2 linked regions of the Sus scrofa genome follow. The protein of the gene in region 2 purifies or fractionates together with the protein of the main gene of each other region. This does not show direct contact. Links are inferred from orthologs where the notes say so. Each region holds a gene or a part of one and is shown on either strand. Other genes may lie near its edges.

Region 1 (6,129 bases), about 120 kb from region 2:
CTGGGCCCGTCCTGCACGGCGGGGATGCGCCTGACCCTGCAGCCCGGACCCAGCCTGGCCTCCCAGGCACACCCCCGATGCTGCTTTGCTTTCACCCGCCAGCACCCCCAAGTCCAACCCAGCTGCCCCGTCCAGGCCGTCCCTCCGCCCAGCCCAAGTTCCACTGCCAGGGCACGGGCGTCCTCACCGTCCTGCCCAGAGCCCAGACGGGCACTTACTTCCAGCAGGGCCTTGATAACCAGCTTAATAGTCAGACCGTCCGTTTCAATGGCTTCGTCGGTGTAATTCTTCTCCAGAAACTCACGCACAGATTTGGCGCCCCGGCCTATAGCATTGGCCTGGAAGGGGGAGGTGCCACGCAGCGTGTGCCAGTCTGGAGCTGGCCCGAGAACATGCTGCCCACCCCCCGTGGGCCACTGCTGCCCTGCTCCCGCTCTGCTGCCATGGGCTGAGGTGAGGCAGCCTGGATGCCAGGCCCTGCCCTCTGGCTGCTTTTTGCAGAGGGCTCATTGGGGCAGTTCTCCATGAAGAACGAGCCGCTACTGATGAAAGACGCGTACCTTGCACCGCGCGGTCCCTTTCTCCCAAGTAGCACACCTGCTGACCACAGCTCCCATGACAGCTAGTGTGTGCACACACTCACCTAGGCCAGCTCAGAGCTGCTGCTACCGGCAGGATGGCCCGAGGGCCCCTGCTGCGCCAGGGACTCACCTTCCAGGCGTGGTAGGTCCCTGAGGGGTCCGTCTGGTAGAGTCTGGGGGTGCCGTCAAAGTCAAAACCCACGATGAGGGCGGAGATCCCAAAGGGCCTGCGACCGTTGCTCTGTGTGTAGCGCTAGTGGACAGACAGACACAGGACGGTTGTCTTGGCACAAACTCCCCAGACGACCCAAGTAAAACACACATGGTGCTCCCAGACACTGGGTTCAGGAAAGGGGGGGCCCTAAAGCAAGCCCACATGCGGGTTGTTCGCAGTTCAGGTGAGACATGACACGGGCCAGCGGCTTTCAGCATTGCTCCCACCCTGGCTGCACGTCCCCCCGGAGCACGGCCGGGGCGACCTGGGGCTACTTTGCCGCAGACACACTCGGTTCACAGGTGACCAGAATATCACCAGGGTAGGGGGACTGTCAGCGCCTCGCACCTGCCTGGTGACTGATCATTGGGGAGGGCATGACAAAAGCCACAGCGTTTCCCTCCAGAGATGAGCCCACATCACCTCGTAAGAAGAAAATTTCAGGTACCACTAGGCGAAGGATGGGAAGTTACACGAGGCAGGCGAGGACCACCCCGTGAGGCTGCTGCTGAACCCCCGTGACGCACCCGCAGCAGGACACTAACTGGTGACGGCCCCGTGACGGGAGCCGACCCAGGGCAGGCGGCGCCTACCTGCTTCAGGCTGGCGATGTAGCGGGTGATGTACTCCACAGTGACCGGGTCCTCCACGGTCAGCCGGTGGCTCTGGCACTCCACCCGCGCCCTGTTGATGACTATCCGTGCGTCCGCGGTGAGGCCTGCGGTGACCGGAGAGCTAGCCTGAGCCCCACCTTCCAGTCAGTGGTCCAAACCAGCACGGCATGGACGGCACAACCTCTGGCGGCTTCTAAGACCGGCTCCCGGTTCCCAGCGCGGCGCCTGAGTGACTGGCGGCGGAAGCAGCAGCCCCCACGCGCTTCTCTGAGAAAGCTGGGCGGGCGACCAGCACGCGTCCCGGGACAAAGCAAGTCAACCTCTGGATTGGGTAAACCGGGCGCTCCCTGCCGAGGAGGGAGATGAGCGAGGAGGGAGATGAGCGGAACCACAGGAGCTGACCGCACCTGACAGCAGAGCGCCGGACGGCCCCACCTTTCCCACGGCGACATGCCGCTGAAAGCACGGGGCCACCGCACAGCCCCTCACCCCGGGCGTCTGCTGAGAGCCTGTGCGTCAGCCACCGGAGAGGGACCCTCCTGCCCAAGAAGCAGGCCGCACCTGTTTCTTGGAAACGGTCTGTTCCCCGGCGTGGGCGTCCCCGGCAGCGCTTCCCCGGGTGACCCTCGTAGGAGGCAGGAGGAGAGCCCCGGCCCCAGGCTCACCCGCGAACGCCATGCAGACGTTGTCGTCCAGGGCGCAGATCTTCCGCACGGTCCGCTCGTCCTGCAGCCTGGCCACCGACTTCTTCTCCACGCCGAGGACGACGATGTCCCTTCCGCGGACGCCAACCTTCAACGGGCATCACCGTGGCACTTAAACGTGTGACGCGATCCCAGCCCAGAGCACGAAGAGCGGCTGTTGCCGCGGCCCCATGACCACTGGGGCAGGGGGCACGCACAGCCTGCAAACCGTGGGGCTGGACCCGCTTATGCACAACTACCTCAGGCGTCGCCAGCCAGGTGCCCACTCTTGGCCTTAGGCTTCAGTTTCAGTTCAACTGAAAACCACCACCGTGTGTGACCCACGTGTATGTGCCCCTTCAACCCCATGATTCGGAATTCGGCGTAAAGCCTTTAGGCCTGAGTCCTTAACACAGAAATAGCTGTCCTGAAAGCAGTGTTGCGTGGCTGTGAAGTCACACCCAAACCCTCCCCGCTCCCGCACTTCGGTAACCTGTGTGCACGGCAGTGGGCAAGTGCCTGATGTGACCAGGTGGACGTGTCAGCTACCCCCGGGAGGCCACTGGCTGTTTCTGGCTGTCGCTTCGCAGGTAGAAGGATGTCTTACGCACATGGGGAAAAAAATCACGATTGCCTGTCGACAGCCCTCAATGGGAACAGCAGCCGCTGCGCATGAAACGGTCACTGGGCAGAGCGACATCCGCCCGAGCCCAGAGCAGGGCTTCTGAGCCTCAGGACTGTGGGCACCGGGCCCGCCAATTCTTGGATGTGAGGGCGGCCCGGCTCACTGAAGGATGCTTACCGTCCGCCCGGCCTCTGCCCGGCCTCTGCCTCTAGAAGTCTCCTGGCCGTTGCCAAACGCCCCCTGGGCTGCAGAGAAGCCCTGGTCGGCTGTGTTTCCAAGTTTCAAGCAACTTTCCTACAAACTGACCTGGTCTTTAAAGCTCCCAAAGACAAGAAGGCCCTGCTCAGAGGCGCTGGTTAAAGAAAGGTAGCCTGCCGGCGGGCCCCACATGCAATGGGGGCGGGGGGAGACAGGTGCCAGGCGACTCCCCCACTAGTCTCTAAGCTGAAATAGGTCGCAAGGTGGATTTGGAGCCCCCATTGCAGAAGAGGTTCAAGAGATGAAAATACTTCCAAGATTCACAGAATCGTGTGTTTTCTCTCTGGCCAAACCTCTGACACACCAAATAATAAAATAAAAACCATCGTACAGTTTAGCCAATAAGCAAACTGCCAAGCGTACTGAAGGCACCATTGCATTTACGTTTCAAACCGCGGCCTAAACGACAGCCGCGCTCAGGTGCGAGGGGACGAGGGGGGCGGTCACACCCGGAGGGGCCTGCCAGCTGCGCCGGGCTGCCCGGGGACGGCAGGGCTGCTGCTGAGCCCGGCGGCCGCCCTTTGTCCTCGAAGCCGGCCCACTGCTTTCCCGGTCGGGGAAGCCCCCTCACTGGGAGCGGTCCGCATGCCGTTCGCGCAAATCATTTGGTGCCTTAAGGCGCGTTCCGGGTAAGGGGCTGGCCCGCCGCTCGGAGCCCCCCCCCCCCGCCCAGCCGCGGCCCCCGAACCCCCAAAATGGCGCCGCCGGCAGGCGCGCTCGGCTCCGGACACCGGAGGAGCCCCAAGGCCTGCGGTCTGCAGGCCACGGTCCGCAGCGCCCCTTCCCGAAGCAAGCCCCACGTGACGGCTGCCGTGCGCCCCCCCGCCCCTGTGCTACCCGAGCCCGAAGCACTCGGCGCCGGTCAGCGCGGCCTCCCCAGCCGCCCGGGCCCTGCCCATCCCCGGACGTGCAGGCCCCGCGGGGCCGCCGCTCACCGCAGTCGAGCCCTTCTTCACGGCCTCCTGCGCGTACTCCACTTGGAAGAGGTGGCCGTCGGGCGAAAAGACGGTGATGGCGCGGTCGTAGCTCATGCCGGCGGGGCGACGCGGCCGGACCCGGGAAAAGCGCACACTCACGGCCCGCGCAGCCCGCGATTCACGACGTCGCTGCGCCCGCGCCCGCGCCGCGCGCCCGTCCGCCCCCGGCGCCGCCGACTGCGCTGCTGGCGTAAGGCGGGCGTAAGGCGGCGTCGGGCGACGTGCGCGCGCCGGGGCGGGGCCGGGCCGAACCACCGACGGCCGGGCGCGGGGGGCGGTGCGGCGGCGGCGGCGGTGGCGGCGGCGGCGGGCCCGGCGCGGAGCGCGAGGCGGCCGCCCGGGGGCGCCGCGCGGAGCTCGGTCTCAGGCTGCGGCGGCGCGCGGAGCGGCGAGGCGGCGGGTCCGGAGGCAACGCGGCGACGGAGGGGCGGGCGAGTCCACGGCGCAGCACCCCCCGCGCCCCCCGCCCCCCAGCGACTGCGGAGAATGAGCGCCTCTGGCCGCCGAGCGCAGCCGGAGAATAAACCCCGATGATCTCGGGCTGATCCTGCGCCCGCGACCATGTCGGTGGCCTTCGCGTCCGCCCGGCCGAGAGGCAAAGGGGAGGTCACGCAGCAAACCATCCAGAAGGTGGGCTGGGGGCCGCGGTCCCGGGCTGGGGGCCACGGGGTGCGGGCGGGCGCTGGGCCGGGTCGAGGGCAGCCGGCGGGCGCGGGGCGCGAACAAAGCCGGGGCGCAGCCGACCGCCGCGACCCCGCTGGGGCCCCGCGCGCGCTCTGTGGCCAGCGTGCGCCAATGTGGGCGGGGGTGCGCGGGGGCGGTGGGTTGGGGCTCAAGGCGGCGCGTGGGGTGGTGTCCTCGGAGCCCAGCCCGGAACGACCCCGGGCCTCACCGGCCACAGTGGGGACGCGCCGTCTTCTGGGCCCGGGGCCGCGGGGCAGGAGCGCAGGGCGGCAGGACCGGGTGCCCGCAGGGTGGTGTCCAAGGGATGTTGTCTGCAGGGTGATGTCCGCAGAGCCAAGCCAGGGACGACCCCGGGCCCCGCCGGGGACAGTGGAGACCCGTCGCCTTCGGGGCCGGGGTGCGGGTGCACGGCGTCCGGACCGGGCGTCCGCAGGGTGGTGTCTGCGAGCCGCCCGGTGCGCCGAGGGGACCCTCCTGACTGGGAAAGTGGTGACGCTGCGCCGTGGGCGGCCCCCCGCCCCCGCGCGCAGTTTGGCTGGTGGAGGGCGCACGGGGCACATGGGGCGACGGGGATCCGTCCCAGCCGCCGGCCCCGCCTGCCATTTAGGTGCTGGCATTACGAGGCACAAAGAGGTGCATCCAGAGTGAGGGCGCCGGTCTTGCAGCCCCGCAGCCCTTTAAGGAGCGCTCCACGCCTCGGGGCCGGCTGGCCGGCCGCTCTTATTGGAGTGTCACGCTGCTTTTCAGCCTTGACACTTCGCCAGCCTCTTCACCTAACAAAACTTTACAGACTGGTTTTACAGCCTTGCCTGCGTGCTATAAGTTTGGCCTCGTGGTTTCCTAGACATAACCTTCACGTGGGTTTGGGGACATTTTAATACAAGTCTTAGGTTTTGAAATGGAAATTTAAAATTTTTACTGCTTCTGTTTAGAAGATAAAGCTCAGGAGAAAGTGGCTCTCGACTCTTCCCCTTTGAGTTCCTCGATGTCGGGTAGCCAGGTTGCTCTCCTTTCTAAGCTGGGTTCTCCGAAGAATCCCTGGGTTTCCGGGAACCTTTTATGTCCCTCTGGGATTCACCTTCTCCCGTGATGATGTTTCAGGGCTTCTTTTTGCTGTGACTGGTTTTGACGAATGAGGAGCCTCTGTAAACTCTAAATAAAAAGCAGTAGAAACACGAGGGAAAACGTGGGGCGTTTTCACTTGTTTAGTCCACACTTGAGTGGTGCTCGCTCAGTAGGGGCCCGATTCTCTGGGCCGGGCCCATCTTGATGCGCGTCACCGCTTGCAGTGGTCACTCTCATCAGCGGCTGGTGGAGAAGGAGAGCGGCAGAAGGAGGCCGAGTGCCTGCGGGTAAGTGCTGGAGCCAGGAGGCCAACCCAGACAGTGGCTCTCGGCTCGGGTGGGCAGCCCGGAGCTCCTCTGGGGACCCTGGATTTTTAGGTGAGCATCGTCCCTGTTCCCAAAGCCACCTTGGCATCAGTACTCATCCAC
Region 2 (5,858 bases):
CACCTGGACGAGGAGCTGCTTGCCGGAGGCCCGCCGCTGCCCAGTAAGCTGGCCAGGCCCGGCCCAGTCAGGGCCCCCAGCCCCCCTGCGAGGAGCAAGGAGACAGGGCTCAGCTGTCACCCGGCCAGACAGCCCACCCTCCCCGCCAGAGGAGCAGGAACGCGCGCACCAAAGCCCAGGGACAGGCAGGGGAGGTGGTGACCACGGCGGGGCAAGAGGCAGCTCTTCCCGCCAAGCCGGACGCTTCACCCCCCTGCTACCAGGGCACTGGGTCCTCGTGACGTGGAGCCCAGGCCCAGGACGAAGTGACAAGCGTTTCCTGAGCGCCACGCCAGCCTGACGGGGCGGCAGCGCCGGGGCCACCCAGAGACCAGGCTCCTCCCCGGGGCCTCGCCTCCCTCCGCCCAGGGCTCCCAGCTCCCGCCTCAGGCAAAGCAGGCCCTTCCCCGGGAAGCCTGCACGCAGAACAGAGGGCTCGGAGCCCCTCGGAGCGCGGGGACACGGGGGAGGGCCCGGGGCCGGGGCGCGTTACCCAGTCCTCCGAGGCCGGCGGGTCCGATGAGCTGCATGAGCTGGCTGTGGCTCATGTTCCCCAGCAGGCTCTGCAGGCCGCCCTCGCCTGCAAGACAAGGCGGTCAGCCCGGGACGGCCACGGCTGGGCCTCCCGCTGCCCGGAACTGCGCGGCCCGCCTCCCCCAGTGTCCCCGCCAGGCGGGGCGGCGCCGTCTCATCGGGCGCCGGTGGGGGTGACCCCGGAACGGGGGAGGGGGCTTCTAACGAGCAACCCTCTGCGTCCGCTTAGCAACAAGCGGGCCCCACTCAGGGGCCACGTCACCTGAAACCCACCGCGACCTCCCGGCACACCCGGGAAGGGGACGGTTACCGCCCAGCGCCGACAGCTCGTGGCCTCCGCTGCCGCTGGCCCCCAGGGCGCCGGGCATGGGCGGGTTGTTGAGGTACTCGTTGACCTTCCGGCAGTGCTCCTCGTCCTGGTCCGTCTTGGGCTCCTGCGGGGAGGATGCGGCACCCGCGCGGCTGAGCGGCCCGCCCGCCACGGGCCGCCTTAGAGGCGAGGCACCCGAGGCCTGGACAGGCGGAGTCACCTGTCCGCAGTCACCCGTTTCACAGAAGGGGACCCTGACGTGCCAGGAGCACTGGGGGCGCAAAGGCACCGCCTTGTGACCCTCTGGGACAGGCCCTTCACACGGCAGGCCAAGGCCACACGTGTGACACCCCCACTGACCCTTTCATCGGAGCACCGCCCACGGACCAGCGCCCCCCGTCAGCAGGGCGCTGACATGAGCACCAGGTGTGGGGGGTCAGGCAGCGCTGCCCTGTGAGCACCCCCAGAAATGCAGGACCAAACACCTTCGCCTCTTGTCCAGGAGTCACTGAGCATGTGCTGTGGGCCTGCAGGGTGACGCGGGGAGGGGGGACAAGACACAGTCCCCAAGCTCAGGGCGGAGGGAACAGAAAAGGCACCACGTGGGGTCAAAACTATGGAGAAACAAGCTCTACGCCAGTGGCTGACACACCACAGGCCTGTTTACAAATAAAGTTTTACTGGAGCGTGGCTACACCCGTCTGTTGACCTGTCCTTGGCCACTGTCACACTACTCAGCGGAGGTGAGCTGGCATGACACGACCGTCCTGCCCCGTTGCACAGAGTGCCGGGGGCGCGGCGGGGGCGGGGCGGGGGATCTGTCCAAACTGCAAGCACACAGGCTCACCTACCGCAGGAGCACGTCCACGTCCCCTGGGCAAGAGGACCCCCAGGGACCCCGGGGGCGGGAGCGCTGGAGGAGCGGACCACAGGCAGACTCTTGCTGGTCAGCCAGGGACTGCCGCACACAGCGGGCACCCGAGGCCCAGCTACAGGTCCAGACCCTGGGCAAGCCCGCCCCCAGGCCCCTGCGCCCAGGTCATACCCTGGACTCCTAAGGTTCCAGGGCAAGCAGCTTCGGTCAGCGAATTCTACCACCCAGGGAGCAACTTTCTAACCTAATTTCACGACAGGAGAAAAAAAGATAAATGCTGACAAAACCCATGTACCTGCATCCAAAAGAAGAGCCGCTTGGAGCCAGCCTTAAACTTGAGGACGTAGACCCTGCCGCTGGGGCACTGCGGCACACGCTTGAACTCGCAGTCATCAGGAAAGATGATCAGATCCTACAGAGAGCAGCAGGGAGGAGAGTCGGCTTCACGGGCACAGCATCGCTGAGCCCCGGAACCTCCGGGAGAACACGCTGGGTCCCGTGTTGAGTGTGGGGGCGTGGGGAGAGGACACGGAGACCACGGGGTCTCTGGGGGGCAGAGGCACCACACGGCGGGCACGAGGGCCAGGAGGGGCTTGGTACTAAACAGAGAAGGGGGGCTTCTGACTCTCGACGGATTTTCAATAGAGACACTTGGGGAAGCAACATTCCAAGATGAGTCAAAAGGCAACTGTGACCTGCTCTCGAACCTAACAAGAAATGATTTGGTCTGAAGAACAAAGAACACCAAATAAAATGACCGCTCGAGAACGCTGTCGAGGATGCGGTAAGTTCAGGACTTTTATACAGTTTCTCCAATTCAAAGCACCTAATTAATCTTCAAGTTTAAAGGACACACAGGCAACGGGAGAATCTATAGACCCCCCGAGGCTAGAACGACCCACAAGCAAAAGAAAATATCTGATAAGGGCACCAGGCCAGGGGCTCCGGGCCTCCCAAGACCTGCCAAAACGGAAACGGCCGCTGTGCCCCTGGGGCACCGGTCCTTCTGTGAAAATCGCCCCGCGCTGACAACCAGGCGGGGGTCGAGATGAGATGGAGGCCACCAGACACTTACGTCTTCCACGTTCCCAGATGTCCTGTCTTTCCAGCAAAAGTGAATGAGGGAGTCATCTGTCTGTTGAATGTACACGAGGCCTTTCCGTTTATCTGGGGTGACAGTAGTTCCTTTTAATGACATCTTTCCTGCCCGAAACTCCACCAAATACTTGTTGGAGGACCCGCGGGAGCCTGGCACCAGGCTTGGAAACAGAGCGCCTGAAGTCGTCATCCTGAAACCGGACCAGCAAGCGGACCCAGTCACTGCCACGGAAACCCTAACTTCCTCCTCAAATGTTCGCTGGCGGCGGAGTGAAAGCCCCTCTCTCTGAACCGCGGGCTGCCACTGTGCTGGGAGCAGGCGGCAGGCCCAAGCCGCCCAGCACCCGCCGCCAAACTCCTCCCGGGTGGACCTGGGCCCGCAGTACCTGAGCCCAGGGAGCCAGGTTCCCTGCTGCTTCTCGTGTTTCTAAGAGAAGGAAATTTACCCCCGCACCTGAACTGCATCACCGCTGCGGACCCTCGTCACCACCACTCTCCGTACTTTTTAAATCTGCAGCTCCGAAGGGTTTAAAACCGTGAGCTGGGCAGACAACCGCTAACACACTGGATAGGAGACAAGGCTGTGGCCTAAAACCGAGTTTCTGCGCGATACGGGCAGGCTCGCTGCCTTAGAAAAAACCCGAGCACCCGGGAGAAGCGCAGCAAGCCCCGCGGCGGCGCTGCATCCTCTGCGGGGTGACCTGGCCATCCCCGCCCGCAGACCCCGCCGCCCGACGCCCTCGGCTGCGCTGCGCGGCGGGCGGGGCGGCGGCTGGGCTGGCCCGGGAGCCGGGCCCCAGAACCCCGGCCCGCGCCGGCCCCTTGCCCCTCAGGCCTCCGCCCCCCGGGCGCCCGCCCGCAGCCGCCGACGGCGCAGACCCCGCCCCCTGCCGCCCCCGTAACCGTCCCCGCCCCCGGCGCCCCCTGTACCTGGTCCGCGCCGAGAGTCGGCCGAGAGGCGCTGTCCGGGATCGCTCTTCCTCCTCGGCGCCTGCCGGGCCCCGCCGGAAGTCCCGCTCGCCCCGCCCCCCCGCCGCTCTCGCCGCCGATTGGGCCCCGTCAGGAGAGGGGCGGGCACTGGCCCGCGGGCGATTGGCCAGAGCGGCCGCCCATTACCCGGCCAGGCCCGCCCCCCCGCCTGCGGCTCCTTCCGGCGGAAGCGCGGGCCGGCGGCGCGCGGGCCAGAGCGGCCCCTATTGTTGCTGTGTCATAGGGGCGCGGCGGCGGCCCCTGGCGGCGGCGCCTGGAACGGCGAGGCGGGCGCGGGCCGGGCGGTGGGCGCTGGCCCCGGGACCGCCGGGCCGCGCCGGGCCGAGCCCCTGCGGGACGCTGGAGGCTCTCTCAGTTTCGCTGTCAGTGCGAGACACCGGGTCCCGAGACGAAGGAGAAGTCGCTAGCTCAAGGGAGAGGATGGCCTAGGACGCGGGGGCCGGGGGCCGGGCGCGAGGGTTTCACATTCCGGGGGCAAGGTGGCAAACTACAGCCCCGAACCCCGTTCCATGGCCTCCACCCATCCTCCTCGATTACAGTGACGACCCGGCTGCCCCCCATCGCCCCCGTACCCCAACAGCAGTGATGGCACAGTCCTCCCCATCCCCCCCAGCACCCCAGACAGCAGCGTTGGCACGGCTGCCCCCTCCCCCTCGTCTGCGGGTGCAGCGTTTCCAGAGGCTGGTGGGCAGTCAGGATGGAGGGAAGGCCAGACTAGATAAACGGAAGGCGCTGCCCTCCCACTACTTTTATTTCCGCTTCATTTACACCCAGTCCTGCAGAGAAATGGAAAAGCGGCCCACGTGCTAGGTGCCCCCAGCCGCACACCCCACCAGCGCCGCCTGCCTCCCGGCGCCAAAGGCAGGGCCGTCCTGAACTGTGTGCCCACTTTCCTGTGTGCTGGGTGATTTTCTCTCTATGTGTATGGAAAACTTGTTTTTAAGCTTTTCATAAAAGGTATAAAGGTGAAAAGTATTCTTTCACTCAATGTTTTTAAGATTTATCCACCTTGACACCTGTGGCTCTAACCCATTCATTTTAACTCCTGTACCCTCTTCTGGTGAGTTCCATACCCCTTGCTTTGTGATCTAAAGAGTCACTAATTTTTTTCTTTGTTTTGGAAAATATGACTGTTTTTCATTTTAAAATTTTATTTGTGATAATAAATGCCTTTGTTATTTTTAAATTAGTTAATATTTATTTTTAATTTATAATAATGGTAAATATCCATAGATTAAAAACCCATATAGACAAAAGCTCTGTGGGGTCCTGGATAATTTTTGAGACTCTCAAGGGTTCCAGAGGTGGGCGGGGGGAACAGCCAACTTGAGGCAATGCTTATGGGAGTTCCCTGGCGGCTCAATGGGTTAAGGATCCGTCATTGTCACTGCTGTGGTGCCTGTTCAGTCCCTGACCTGGGAACTTCCACATGTCACAGACGCAGCCTGAAAAAAAAATTCTAGTACAACGTGATGCAATTTTGTGGCCTCTGACGCGGTCACCACCCTGCAGACAATGCCATCCCATGGCCTGTGAAACCAGGCAAGAAATCAGTGAAGCAGCACCTGTCGTGGCACAGCAGAAACGAATCCAACTAGGAACCATGAGGTTGCAGGGTCGATCCCTGGCCTCACTCAGTGGCTTAAGGATCCGGCGTTGCCATGGGCTGTGGTCACAGAAGTGGCTCAGATCCAATGTGGCTGTGGCTGTGGTGCAGGCCGGCAGCTGTAGCTCCAATTAGACCCCTAGCCTGGGAACCTCCATGTGCCGCGGGTGTGGCCCTAAAAAACAAAAAACAAAAAAACCCACAAAGCTTTATACACTTTCAATAGTTTCTTTGAAAAATCTGAATAAGGAAGCAAGCTACAGGTAAACGGGCACCACGGAGGCCAGTCCATGTGCCCACCCCAGCCTTGGGCTCGGGGAACCCGGCTGCACGCATCCGAGCACCTGGCAGCCTCCGCCAAAAAGCAAACCCAGCACGACCCCCTGAACTTCACCACATCGCCCAGA

The links. Proteins that work in one complex are often made in the same cells at the same time.
Region 1: the proteins of ADRM1 (region 2) and PSMA7 fractionate together in Homo sapiens (co-fractionation; 3 studies listed by BioGRID, with this or other methods). This does not show direct contact. The link is inferred for Sus scrofa from reciprocal best matches to the Homo sapiens genes ADRM1 and PSMA7.

What each region holds. Positions count from the first base shown.
Region 1 is NC_010459.5:61,567,360-61,573,488, forward strand, and holds the start of PSMA7 (proteasome subunit alpha type-7), read right to left. Parts: upstream 4,158-6,129; 5' UTR 4,007-4,157; coding exon 3,911-4,006; intron 2,202-3,910; coding exon 2,075-2,201; intron 1,514-2,074; coding exon 1,389-1,513; intron 835-1,388; coding exon 712-834; intron 339-711; coding exon 219-338; intron 1-218. Other genes in the region: SS18L1 (calcium-responsive transactivator), read left to right, coding at 4,514-4,582.
Region 2 is NC_010459.5:61,690,966-61,696,823, reverse strand, and holds the start of ADRM1 (proteasomal ubiquitin receptor ADRM1), read right to left. Parts: upstream 3,868-5,858; 5' UTR 3,786-3,867; intron 3,420-3,785; 5' UTR 3,321-3,419; coding exon 3,310-3,320; intron 3,047-3,309; coding exon 2,833-3,046; intron 2,170-2,832; coding exon 2,053-2,169; intron 1,008-2,052; coding exon 884-1,007; intron 620-883; coding exon 533-619; intron 86-532; coding exon 4-85; intron 1-3. UniProt on the Homo sapiens protein: Component of the 26S proteasome, a multiprotein complex involved in the ATP-dependent degradation of ubiquitinated proteins.